2 linked regions of the Oryctolagus cuniculus genome follow. The protein of the gene in region 2 interacts with the protein of the main gene of each other region in a pairwise test. Links are inferred from orthologs where the notes say so. Each region holds a gene or a part of one and is shown on either strand. Other genes may lie near its edges.

Region 1 (6,359 bases), on a different chromosome or scaffold from region 2:
ATGTCTACCCTCAACTGCAGGTAAGGTTTGGAGGCAGTGGCGAAGGCTGTGCTGAGGTCCCAATCAGACAGCAGGGAGAGGTAAGCTTCCTGTCCGAGCCGGTCCCGGCCCAGGTAGCTGATGCCAAAGTTCTTCTTCCTGGACAGAGGGTATGAGGGAGCTCTCAGGGCCCCCAGTGCCCTGGAAGCCTCAAGGGAGGGGGAGTCAGTTTGCAAAACAAAAGGAATAACATTGCAGGTGCTGAAACAACGTCCAACTGTGTCCCGAGCGCTGTGCCAGGGACTGTGGGCCGTCGGACCTCACGCTGTTTACACCTCCCATGCTACACCAACACAGAAACAGATATACACCTGCTGAGGTCTGGAGGGCACACCGGAACCTGGGGAATGCTGCTCCCTCCTGGGAACGGTAATAAGGTAGTTGAAGGACACAGGGCCTTCTTACGATGTAAAAAAAAAAATAATAATAAATAAAGCTACAATATGCTACCCCCAAAGGCAGCTTTAGGCACCAAGGAAGACCGTAATTTAGTTCCTTCCATCACCAACAAGCAAAGAGTGGGCTGCATCTGCGAAAGCACAATGGTGCTATCATCTGGTTCTCGCTGCACAAAGGTGACCCAGTGGTGCTCTAACTATGGACCTAACTTACAACGTGGAACCCATTATAAGCTGGTGCCTCACCCGGTGGCTGAGTCCCTGCACTAACTTAATTAAAATGTGCTATAAGACTTCTTTTTCCCGATAAAAATTAGCCATCATATTAGCTCCTCCTTCCCATTAAAAAAATTTTTTTTTTTTTAAGAAAAGTAATCTGGGGACCGGTGCTGTGGCATAGTAGGCTAAGCCTCCACCTGCAGCTCCAGCATCCCCTGTGGGCACCAGTTTGTGTCCTGGCTGCTCCTCTTCCAATCCAGCTCTCTGCTCTGACCTGGGAAAGCAGTGGAGGATGGCCCAAGTGCTTGGGTCCCTGCACCCACGTGGGAGACCTGGAAGAAGCTCCTGGCTCCTGGCTTCAGATCAGCTCAGGTCTGGACATTACAGCTGGAACCAGTGGATGGAAGAACTTTCTTGCTCTGTTTCTCCCTCTCTCTGTCTGTAACTCTACCTCTCAAATAAATAAAAACTTTTTTTAAAAAAGCAGTCTGTATGACTTTTATTTTTTACAACAAAAGTTTATGCCAAAAAGTCAAACAACATGTAGGGAATTCTTTTCAGATATACTTGTGCAACTGTGCAAAGAGGTATGTTATGCAATAATCTTAACCATGGAAACATCCTAAACATTCATCAATTCTGTCCTGTTTCAATGGGTTACCATGGGCCTGTATTCCTCTAAAACCACCACCATAACAAAATATAACCATAACACTTGCTCCCAAGAGACAACACTTTCCCCCTATTGGGTTGGCAAATTTTACAATGTTTTCTGGTAATCACTGTTTGTGAGGGGAGAAAGAAATAGGCATTTTATATGCTGCTGGTGTAGTTGTCAACTGGGAAGATATGCCCGGAAAGCACTTTGGAACTATCCATTTAATCTAGCAACAGCCCTGCTAGGAGTTTATCCTAACCCTAGACTTCCCCAGATACGCTAAGATACGCACACGTGGCTGTTCCCTGTGGCGTTATTTATAATAGCAAAACAAACAAAACGCGAACAAACAGTGAGCCAGCCGACGCTCGCTGCTGGGGCCAGTCTCTGGCATCCGCCTACTTACCCGTTCAAGTCAAAGGCCCGAATGAGGATGTGTTGTAACACGTCCAGCGAGGTGATCTGGGGGTCGACAGCGAAAGAGCGGAACTCAGGGGCCAGGAAATTCTCGTGTTTCTGGAGAGAGAAGACAGGGCAAGACCATCAGGGCCATGTTCAGCAAGCTGAAGAGTGTGGCAGGTGCAGAGCGGTAGAAAGCAAGGTCAAGGACATGGGGGGCCAGATCGAGGCGGGCCGTCTGGGCTGTAGTGAGGACTTTGGCTTTTGGCTCTGAGTGAGGGGCAGCTTTGGGAGGCTTCTGAGCGAGGAGGGATGTGGCGCGACTTAGGATTTAACAGGATCTTTCTGGCTGCTCTGCAAAGAGACTGCGGGGGCTGGGGGAAGGGGGAGGAGGGAAGCGAGGGGTCCAAGTGAGGGGGGTCTTTCAATAGTCCAGGTGTCTGATCCTTCTCGGTATCCCCCCACCCCAATTATGCTTGTCAGAATCCTCACATGCAGTCTGGCCCCTACTAAATCAGCCCTCCACTCTGCAACCAATCCAGCACATCTATTACAACCCTGCCCTGCTTCAATCCCTTCCATGGGGGCTGGCGTTGTGGTGTAGTGGGTAAAGACGCCGCCTGTGCCACCAGCATCCCATACACGTGCTGGTTCAAGTCCTGACCTCTCCACTTCCAAGTCAGCTCCCTGCTAATGTGCCTGGGAAAAGGCAGTGGAAAGTGGCCCAAGGGCTTGGGCACCTGCCACCCACGTGAGAGACCCGGAAGAAGCTGCTGATTCCTGACTTTGGCCTGACCCAGCCCTGGCCATTGCGGCCATCTGGGGAGTGAACTAGCAGATGGAAGCTCGCTCTCTCCTGCTCTCTGTAACTCTGAGTTTCAAATAAATGAATAAATCTTAAAAAAAAAAAAATCTCTTTGATGGCAACCCTAGGTCCGCAGCAGGAGGGCCTCAAGGGCCCTGGCTGGTCTTGCTCCAGTTTTTCTATTTACATTAACGTAGTTCCAGACTGTTGGAAGTTACCTTGAACACATCCTAGCCCCAGGCCTTTGGTGCGTGCTGATCCTCCTGTCTGGAACATCCTTCCCACTTGCTTCATGTACCACCTTCACAGCTCAGGCATCAGCTCTTTGCTGAATCCCCAAACCCCTGCCTTGGAGCTCTGTTATGCTGAAGGGATCTGTTGACCTTTTTCTGGCCACTGCCACTGCCATTGCCACCACAGGAGTCCAAGCAATCCCTGCTGCTCGCTGGAACTATTGCAACAGCTTTCTTCCTCAGAGTATACACCAAAGGCCTCCGCCACGTTCCTCCCCTTATGCCCTGAATTCACCTCCTACCTTTCTCCTCACTCTCTGCACCCCAGCGACATGGGGACCCACAGAACATGCCAAGCTCAGTCCCCCTGCCCCTCTTAGCCTTTGCCCTTGCTGGTCTCTGTGCTTGCAACACTTTTCCCGCCTGATATGCACAGGGCTGACCCCTTTGTGTTCTGACCTCTGCTCCTTCAATACCTTCTCTGGAGATTTCCCTGTACAACCTTGGCCAAGGTAACTTCTTAGCTCACAACCTTTTGCATTATTTCCTCATGGCAGTCACCAGGCTCCAAAGCCTCCCATTTATCCAGCTGTTCGTTCCTCCCCACAAGTATGCCAGCTCATCAAGGGTGGAGACCTGCACAAAAGTGCACTCTAAACACACACGTGTTGACTGACTTCAGAGCTCTCCTTGCAGAGGGCAACAGCACATTCCTCCTGGCTCAGGGCCCCACCCCTCAACTACTGCGGCCCCTCCCTCAACTCTACAGCCCCGCCCCTCTACTCATAAGCCCCACCCCTCTATTCCATAGGCCCCTATCATTCCATTATCAGTCCCAGGCCACAGGATATTTCTCTAAGGCTCCGGGTCTTCAAGCCCTCCCTCCCCACCCCCCATCATTCTTCTCTCCATCCTAAGGATACCACCATCTTCCCCTCCCCTGGGATGTCCGACCGGCCACTAGCCTCACCTTGACTCGGACCCGTACCACCTCTCGCTCCTCCTCCTCCGCCGCCGCTGCCGCCTGGGCTCCCCCGCCAGGCGGGGGCGCTCCAGAGCCGGCCAAGTCCGAGGACCCGGAGGTTGCTGCCATCCCGCCGCTGCCCCTTAGTGTGACAGCTGGCCGTTGCCCCCCACCTCTGCGCGCACCCTACAGTGCGGGCACCCGCTGCCCCACCTTGTGCCGGGGCGCAGGCGCAGAGGGCGCCACACAATTCTGCCCACCACAGCCCCTCCCATCTGGCCCAGGCTGGAGGTCAGCTCTGCTCATGCGCCTAGAATGCCGTTGCCAGGTGTCCCGCCCCCAAATCCGGGTATTTTGCCTCACTTCTGCCAATGCGCAGGCGCCAGGCGAAGCTCCGCCTGCCCTCGTTCCGCGGTTTGGTTGTTTTGGCAGTCTAGATCCGATTCACCTAGGTGAAGTGTTAAACTGGACATTCCGGAGATCGAAGTGGGCGGGGAAAAGAAGCTGCTGCGTGATGATGTCAAGGTTCGTTCTACACCCGCCCCCTGTCTGCCTCGCTCCCCTGCTGACAGATGATGTCATCTATTTCAAATACCTGCGTCTCTTGTTTCAAATGAATCTGGTGAACAAAAAAAAATCATTTTTCCAGTCTTTTAAAAAAATAATTTACACATGCAAATTCATAGACTTGTACGGTTATGATTGCTGCACTTTCTGTATGCGTGTTATACTTAAATAATTTACTCCGAAAATAACTTTTATGCTCTCTGAAGGGTCTTTGTTTTATTTAATTCTCTCAACACATTGAAGCTGAAGTCGGTCCTGTTATTAAACTGTGTGCATCCACCAAATATTTGTTGAATGGCGGCTGGCATTGTGGCACAGCTTGATACACCCGCATCCTGTATGGAAGAGCCTGGTTCAAGTCCCAGCCGCTCCAGCTTAATATGCCTGGAAGGCAGTGGATGATGGTCCAAGTACTTGGGTTCCTGCCACCCACAAAGAATACCGGGATGGAGTTCCTGGCTTAGACTTGACCGTGCCAGCATTTGGGGAGTGAAACAGCAGATGGAAGGTCTCTCCATCTCTCCCTCTCTTTCACCCTGCCTTTCAAATAAATAAATACATACTTTTAAAAAAAATCTGAATGATTGGGCATATCTTAGACTCTTGAGAAACTTTTTATTGCAAAATATAAAAAAGGCATTCCTCCCATTTCATTGCACAACATCAATGTGGTTTGGACAAAATACAGTTTGACCTTACAAATATTGTTTCTAAAAAAGAAATCATAATATGCCTGGACTTTGTAGCCTAAGAATCATAGATTAGGTTCAAATGGAAGCAAAGATAGGTTTCATTCAAGTGCAGAATAGATTGGCAAATCAGGAGACAAAGGTTCAGTTAGAAACCAAACAAGTATTCTGTCAAGGGTGAAAAGGACTGAATTTTTAAAGGGGAAAAAAGAGTACAATAAGGTGAGGTGTAGTAACTTGTTTTGAACAGTTTTTGACTGACCCTGTTAATCAAATTGTTTTGAATGCATGTAGATTGGTGCTGAGGATCTGTCCATGCATTAGCTATACATAACTGGTTGCTGAGCTGGTGGTGCTATTTTGAGGGAGTTATCAGTAGGCAATAAGTCTTTTTTAAAAGATTTATTTATTTATTTGAAAGTCAGTTACACAGAGAGGGGAGAGGTAGAGAGGTCTTCCATCTGCTGGTTCACTCCCCAAATGGCCATAGCTATGCCAGTCCAAAGCCAGGAGCCAGGAGCTTCCTCCGGATCTCCCACGTGGGTGCAGGGGCCCAAGGACTTGGGCCATCTTCCACTGCTTTCCCAGGCCATAGCACAGAGCTGGATCGGAAGTGGAGCAGCCAGGACTCGAACCCATATGGGATGCCGGAACTGCAGGCGGTGGCTCCACCTCCTATGCCACAGCACAGGTCCCAATAAGTCTTTTGAGACAGTTCCTAAATCAGCAGAAGTCCCTGGATTGGAAATTCTAGCAATCTGGGGGTTTATAAGCATATTCTTTCCAAACAGTATCCTTTGTCTGGAAGTTCAAAATGGAGGAACTCATGTCTGTGAGGTAAACTTGTAGCCTGTCAAAGTATAATCTGAGGCTCACAGAGAAACTTTGCTGTCTGTATTGACCAAACTGCAGCCATCATAATTGTTCTTTCCCACAAGTTGCAGTGCTGTGTGGTTGCTGCCCTTGTGGTTGACTTTGTCCACAAGTCTGAAATTCCATTTCAATATCTTTCAAAATGATTTGTTGCCTGGGTATTAATATTAAATACACATCTCTAGTTTTTGGAAAATATAAATAATAAGGAATTTTCTTTGAAAGTCAGAATAGGGAAAAAAAGAGAAAATCAGAAGAGGGTTATTGGCATGTCTCTCTTTGTCCCATATGCATGGAGTCAAAAGCAACTATGGCCCTGTTGGATTTCCTAAGTTTAAGAACTGGCTTCTCTTTTAAGGTATCATAGGATGAGATGAGCAAACCAGTAGCCTGGTGCTTACAGTTTATCCCGGTGGTAGTGGGGTACAGGTTTTAGACAGGGGCATGATGTGGTCAGATGCCTCTGCCTTGGTTGTGGAGAGAGCCTTGGACAGAAAGATACTGGGAGGAAGAAG
Region 2 (6,206 bases):
TGAGGCTTAAATTCAGTAAAAGGTGTCCTTGTAATAGCAAGGCAGAGAGTAAGGGGAGAGGGATGCACGCACATTTGGCTTAGCAGTTAAGGTTGTTTGAAACACTCTTATCATAAATTTGAGTGCCTAGGTTTGAGTCCTGGCTAGCTCCTGATTCTAGCTTTCTGCTAATGCACATCCTAGGAGGCAGCAGGTAACAGCTCAAGTACTTGGGTTACTACCACCTACATGGTAACTTGGACTGGGTTGTTGGCTCCCATTTTTAGTTTGGCCCAGCTCTGGCTATTGTGGGCATTTGGAGAGTGAACCAACAGCAGATGGGAATTCTCTCTCAAGCAAAACCAAAAACAAAAAGGACACAGGGCAAAGCCATGTTAAAGTAGATTAGAGTTATGCTTGACTGGCCGGCGCTGCAGCTCAATAGGCTAATCCTCCACCTTGCGGCGCCGGCACACTGGGTTCTAGTCACGGTTGGGGCGCCGGATTCTGTCCCGGTTGCCCCTCTTCCAGGCCAGCTCTCTGTTGTGGCCTGGGAGTGCAGTGGAGGATGGCCCAAGTGCTTGGGCCCTGCACCCCATGGGAGACCAGGAGAAGCACCTGTCTCCTGGCTTCGGATCAGCGCGGTGCACCAGCCGCAGCGCGCTGGCTGCGGCGGCCACTGGAGGGTGAACCAATGGCAAAAAGGAAGACCTTTCTCTCTGTCTCTCTCTCTCACTATCCACTCTGCCTGTCAAAAAAAAAAAAAAAAAAAAAAAAAGTTATGCTTGAAGCCATGAGAAGTTGGAAGAGGCAAGAAAGGATTCTCTCTGGAGCCTTCAAAAGATGCACAGCCTTGATAACACCTAATTTCAGACTTTTGGTTTCCAGAATGGTGAGAAAACAAATTTCTATAGTTTTAGTCCACCAGTCTGTGGTAATTTGCTACTATAGCCCTAGGAAATAATACACTAATTGAGTCATCTTTCAATACTCTTTCTCTTTAGACTTTCATATAGTTAATCTCCCATTCTTGTTGACTCCCTCTACAATAATTCCCAATGTAATCAGTAAAGTGATGCAAACACAAGATATATTGAGTGGTAAGAGAAAAGGAAATAGGAAATATAAAGCATTTATTTAAGAAGCTTGTCAATGAAAACTAGGAGGAAAAGGAAGAGAAAAGGAAGAGATAGTAATTTAAAAATTCCTGACTGAACGCATCCCTACTATGTTCCAGGCTGGTGTTTGGTACAGCAGTTAAGATGTCCCTTGATATGTGCATTTCAGATCAGACTGCCTGGGTCTGAGTCCCAGCACCATTTCTGATTGTAGTTTCCGGCTAGCGTGCACTCTGGAAGGCAACAAATGACAGCTCAAGGATGTGGGTCCTGGCCACCCATGTGGAAGACCTAGATTTAATTCCTACCTCCTGGCTTCAGCCTGGCCCAGTCCAGGCTATTGTGGGTATCTGGAGAGTGAACCAGTGAATGAGAAGATTTCAGAGTCTCTCTGCCCTCTGACTTTCAAATAAATAAAACTTTTAAAAAGTATTCTTTTTAAAAAATAAATTGAAGAAAATTCTCAAGCGAATGTATGTTTAAGAGTATAAATCTTTTCCCTAGAAATTGGAAAGTAATAAACAAGCATGCTGACATGGCTAAGGGAGCTAGCTGCTAAAGAATCAATTTTTTAAAAAAGGAAGTAAGATGATGTGGAAAACTGACTGCTCCCTCTTGATGCAAATCATCCACTACAGTTTCTGTGTCTTTCTTAAACAATACAAACGTACGCTTATTACTAAAACACTTTTGAGATGAGATCAAAGTCATGAAAATGAGTAAAGCAAAAAACAGCTGAAAGTCTATGTTCTCTTTTGGCAGTATCTCTAATACAGTGGGCCTTTGCACATATTTACTTGGTATTCTTTCTCCAATATTCAGTGACTTTTTGTCTACTTATCTGACGGATACTCATCTTTTAAGTCTTAACTTGAATGCCATATCCTCTAGGAAGCTTTCCATAACACAGAGTCTCTTCACAAACTGATTTTTAAGGAAGGAAATTGTCTGGCTATGGGTATATAACACAGTTGATTTGTCTTTTTTCAGGGAGGAAAACACAATATCCACTGCTGTCATTGCTAGGGAGGGGGACGGGAAGGAACACCAACAGGTTTTTGTGATTATCTTGCTCACCCGGAGTGTGGCATGAAATTCAAGAAACGAAATCCAAATCTGGGCTCTGACCAAAAGATAAATAAGCCAATGAAGTATAAAATTGACCTTAAAATAAGCCTATAAAAATCTCTAAGCACGTTATATATTCAGCAACTATTTGCTGGGCACCTACAATAAACCAATAAAGGTGAGTGGAGAAGAATTAGCTGGCCAGTTTATTCTTCACCCTATACTCTTTATAAAACCTCTATGAATTTAACTCCTTAAGTTCTGATTTTTTTTTTTCTGTCTCAAGATCCTATTTAGGATACTATATTATATCTGGTTGACATGTCTCCTTAGGCATCACTGGGCTGTTGACAGTTTCTCAGACTTCCCTCAATTTTCATGACCTTGACAGTTTTGAGTACACTGGTCAGGTATTTTGTTACATGTCCCTGTGTTGGAATTTGTCTTATTTATTTATTTGGCTGGGGTTATGGGTGTTTGTGAGGAAGACCAAAGACACAGACTGTTGTTTTCATTGTATCATATCAAGGATACATATCATCAAGATGATTGATCATTGTTAAATTTAACTTTCATGATTGGATCTTGGTGGCTTTATAAAAAGAGATTACACACACATAGACACACAGACACACACACACACCCCTTCTGCTATGATGCGAGGAAGGGGAGGACTCTCATCACAGACTATGTCATGCTGTTTGGACCTTACATCTCCAGAACCATAAGCCAAAATAAATTTCTCTTCGATATAAAGTTAGCATAACTCAGATATTTTGTTACAGTAATGAATAACTGACTAAAACACTTTCCTAACTAAAAAGAATGTCATCTCACTTTCCAGGTATTAGCAGCAATACTAAGGGAAAGAAATGAATATTCTAAGTGATATTCTAAATTTATGACAGGCCAGAAGCTTAATGAAGGATGGTATAAAACAATATATGCCATTTCCACAATGCCCACTTTATCCCAAATAATAACATTCCAGTAGGGTCACATAGATAAATCAAGTACCTTAACACATTTCAATCTAACCATTTTCCTAGACCTTTCATAAGATTCCAAATAAGAAATGCAACATCTCAGAAATATATTTCGTTGAAATAGCTTAAAGGGGATATCTTTTCATTATTCTATAGAAGGAAGAAGGTGTTTGGATATCAGTGTACAATATAAATTATTAAACAATAAATTGATTATATATTATCTCTACTATAGAAGTCTGTATCAAAGTTAAAGGCTTATAAGCAAAAAGATCTGATGTAATTGCCAGATTAAATCCAAAGAAGCCAAAAACATAATGTATTAAGAGTAACAAAAACTAGGCTGGCGCCGCGGCTCACTAGGCTAATCCTCCGCCTAGCGGCGCCGGCACACCGGGTTCTAGTCCCGGTTGGGGCGCTGGATTCTGTCCTGGTTGCCCCTCTTCCAGGCCAGCTCTCTGCTGCGGCCAGGGAGTGCAGTGGAGGATGGCCCAGGTGCTTGGGCCCTGCACCCCATGGGAGACCAGGAAAAGCACCTGGCTCCTGCCATCGGATCAGCGCGGTGCGCCGGCCGCAGCGCGCCGGCCGCGGCGGCCATTGGAGGGTGAACCAACGGCAAAAGGAAGACCTTTCTCTCTGTCTCTCTCTCACTGTCCACTCTGCCTGTCAAAAAAAAAAAAAAAAAAAAAAGAGTAACAAAAACTGCCATATTCTCATAGACTAGGCATCAGTTGATATAGACAACTAATGTTGAGTTCAGCTTGTTACAGTCAAGTACATGAATTATACATCAAGCTAAAAATAAAATATTCTAAGGCCACAGTTTTAATGGAAGGCAATTTGTTAATACCTATCAAAATGCATATACCAGCTGACCCAGAAATTTAAATTCTTAGACAAATGTACAAAAATGTCAACAGCAGTGTAACAGTATTCCTCAACAGATGTACACTGATAATGTCTAGCAATAGAGCTTCAGAATACCTTTCTCTGAGCTCTCTGGTAGCCAGGGCAGAGACACATGACCAAGGCTGAACCAAGCAGACATTCCTCTCAAGAATTTGGAATCTTGAGAGACCATCAAAAGGTAATCCATTGTGGCTACAAAGGAGATGGAAGTTCAGCAGAATCCAGTGGTATATTCCCAGCATTTTCTTAATCAGGGTGTAATAGACATCAGGAATTTGGCTTGGCCTTGCCTACTTTCAAACCTGATTCTACTGCCTTCCTATCAGCTCTGTGAACCAGCCAATCTTTGCAATAAAATCTTCTGCTCAGCATAAATGTTTCTGTTTTTTGCTACCACAGACCCAGACTAACAGAATCAGGAACTGATTAAATTAATTATGTTCATCTATGGGGGGGGGGGTTAAAAATTAGATTTATATGCAGTAAAATAGAAAAGACATCAAAGATTTACCCATAAGTGAAAAATATGAAGGTGTAGCACAGCACTAGATATATAATACTAACAGGATTGGGACACACACACACACAAATGCACACATTTACAGATACACAGAAAATTTGTAGCAGGATACATAAATCATCCTTTACCAAACTTACATAGGTAAAACTTAAAGAACATAAAAATATGTAAGTTTTAAAAAGAATCTACTTTAATATCAATAATATATAGGCAATACTTACTAACCTTGTCCAACTACCTCCATAGGGAAGTAGCATTTAAAAAACCAGCAATACTTCCAATGTTTTAAAAAACAGCTACATTAAATTTTCATCTGCTAAGCAATTACAAGGAGGTCTGCAAATAAAACAATACATTGTGAAACAGAAGATTTTGACTTCCTTCTCTCTCCCCCCACCAAACCTCTCTGAGTAATACTACTAAGTAGTTACTTTTTAGTAAGACCTAATCATGGGTAAGGCTGCAAATGCACACATTCACATTTACTCATCCTTGAATCCAACATGATTTTCGGCTGCCTAAATTCTCTAAGAAATCTTTACAAGAATGAGAAAAAGAGACAAAAAAGGCGGAAAGAGCTCATTTAATTACTATTAAAAATCTAAGTTAAGGGTAGAAAATTTATCCCATTTAGAAAGTGGGAATGTGGCTCCCACCCTGAAGCTCACCAGAGGATAAAAAACCAATCTCTTAAACTATGTCACAAAATACTCTTCGCAGTATGGTCCCAATATTTCTTCAGTCTTTTTTTTTTTTTTTTTAAGGATTTACTTGAAAGGCGGAGTCAGAGAGAGGGAGAGACACAGACACACACACACACACACAGAGAGAGGGAGAGAGAGAAAGAGAGAGAGAGAGAACTTTCCATCCACTGGTTCACTCCCCAAAGGGCCAGAATGGCCAAGTGAGCCAGGCTGAAGCTAGGAGCCTGGAACACCTTCTAGGTCTCCCATGTGGGTGACAAAGGCCCAAGCACTGAAGCCATCATCTGCTGCTTTCCCAGATGCATTAGCAGGGAGCTGAATCAGAAGTAGAGCAGCCAGGACTTGAACTGGCACTTGTACATAATGCCAGAGTCACAGGAAGCTTAACCTGCTATGCCACAATGCAGGCCCCTATTCCTTTAGTCTTTACCCCCACTCACCACAAATCCTGTCAAAAACTGTTTACTGCCACACTTTGTATAACATTCCTAGTATGAAAGTCATTAAAACTTCTTTGCAAAAAAAAGTGTGAACTCAGCTCTGTTGCCTCCTCACATAACTAATATAAGTCAGAGAAATATATATATTATATATATAAAATATATACCCAAAGAGATATATTATCCAAATATAAAAATATATTATATTGTATATTAATATATAATGCATACTTATATATAATTACATAATATATGATAAATATGTATTTATATAATATATAAAATATATTATCCAAAGAGATAAAATATATATAATATTAAGAGAAGAGCATAAATTCCATAGGATTGTTAGGTGGGGGATCATTCAGACAAATTAGACCATGCCCAAACATTTCATTTCCAAAATGGGGTTAATAGTAACCTAAGATTACTTCAAGAATATGTATGAATGCTACTCCGTGCTATTCAGCATCCAGAAGGTG

What was found.
Region 1: the proteins of RAB2A (region 2) and TBC1D25 interact in binary tests that used the Homo sapiens proteins (3 or more experiments, as listed by UniProt). The link is inferred for Oryctolagus cuniculus from reciprocal best matches to the Homo sapiens genes RAB2A and TBC1D25.

Annotation. Positions count from the first base shown.
Region 1 is NC_091453.1:33,757,588-33,763,946, reverse strand, and holds the start of TBC1D25 (TBC1 domain family member 25), read right to left. Parts: upstream 3,994-6,359; 5' UTR 3,845-3,993; coding exon 3,722-3,844; intron 1,831-3,721; coding exon 1,721-1,830; intron 139-1,720; coding exon 1-138. UniProt on the Homo sapiens protein: Acts as a GTPase-activating protein specific for RAB33B. Involved in the regulation of autophagosome maturation, the process in which autophagosomes fuse with endosomes and lysosomes.
Region 2 is NC_091437.1:85,904,666-85,910,871, reverse strand, and holds the start of RAB2A (ras-related protein Rab-2A), read right to left. Parts: upstream 4,263-6,206; 5' UTR 4,248-4,262; coding exon 4,136-4,247; intron 1-4,135.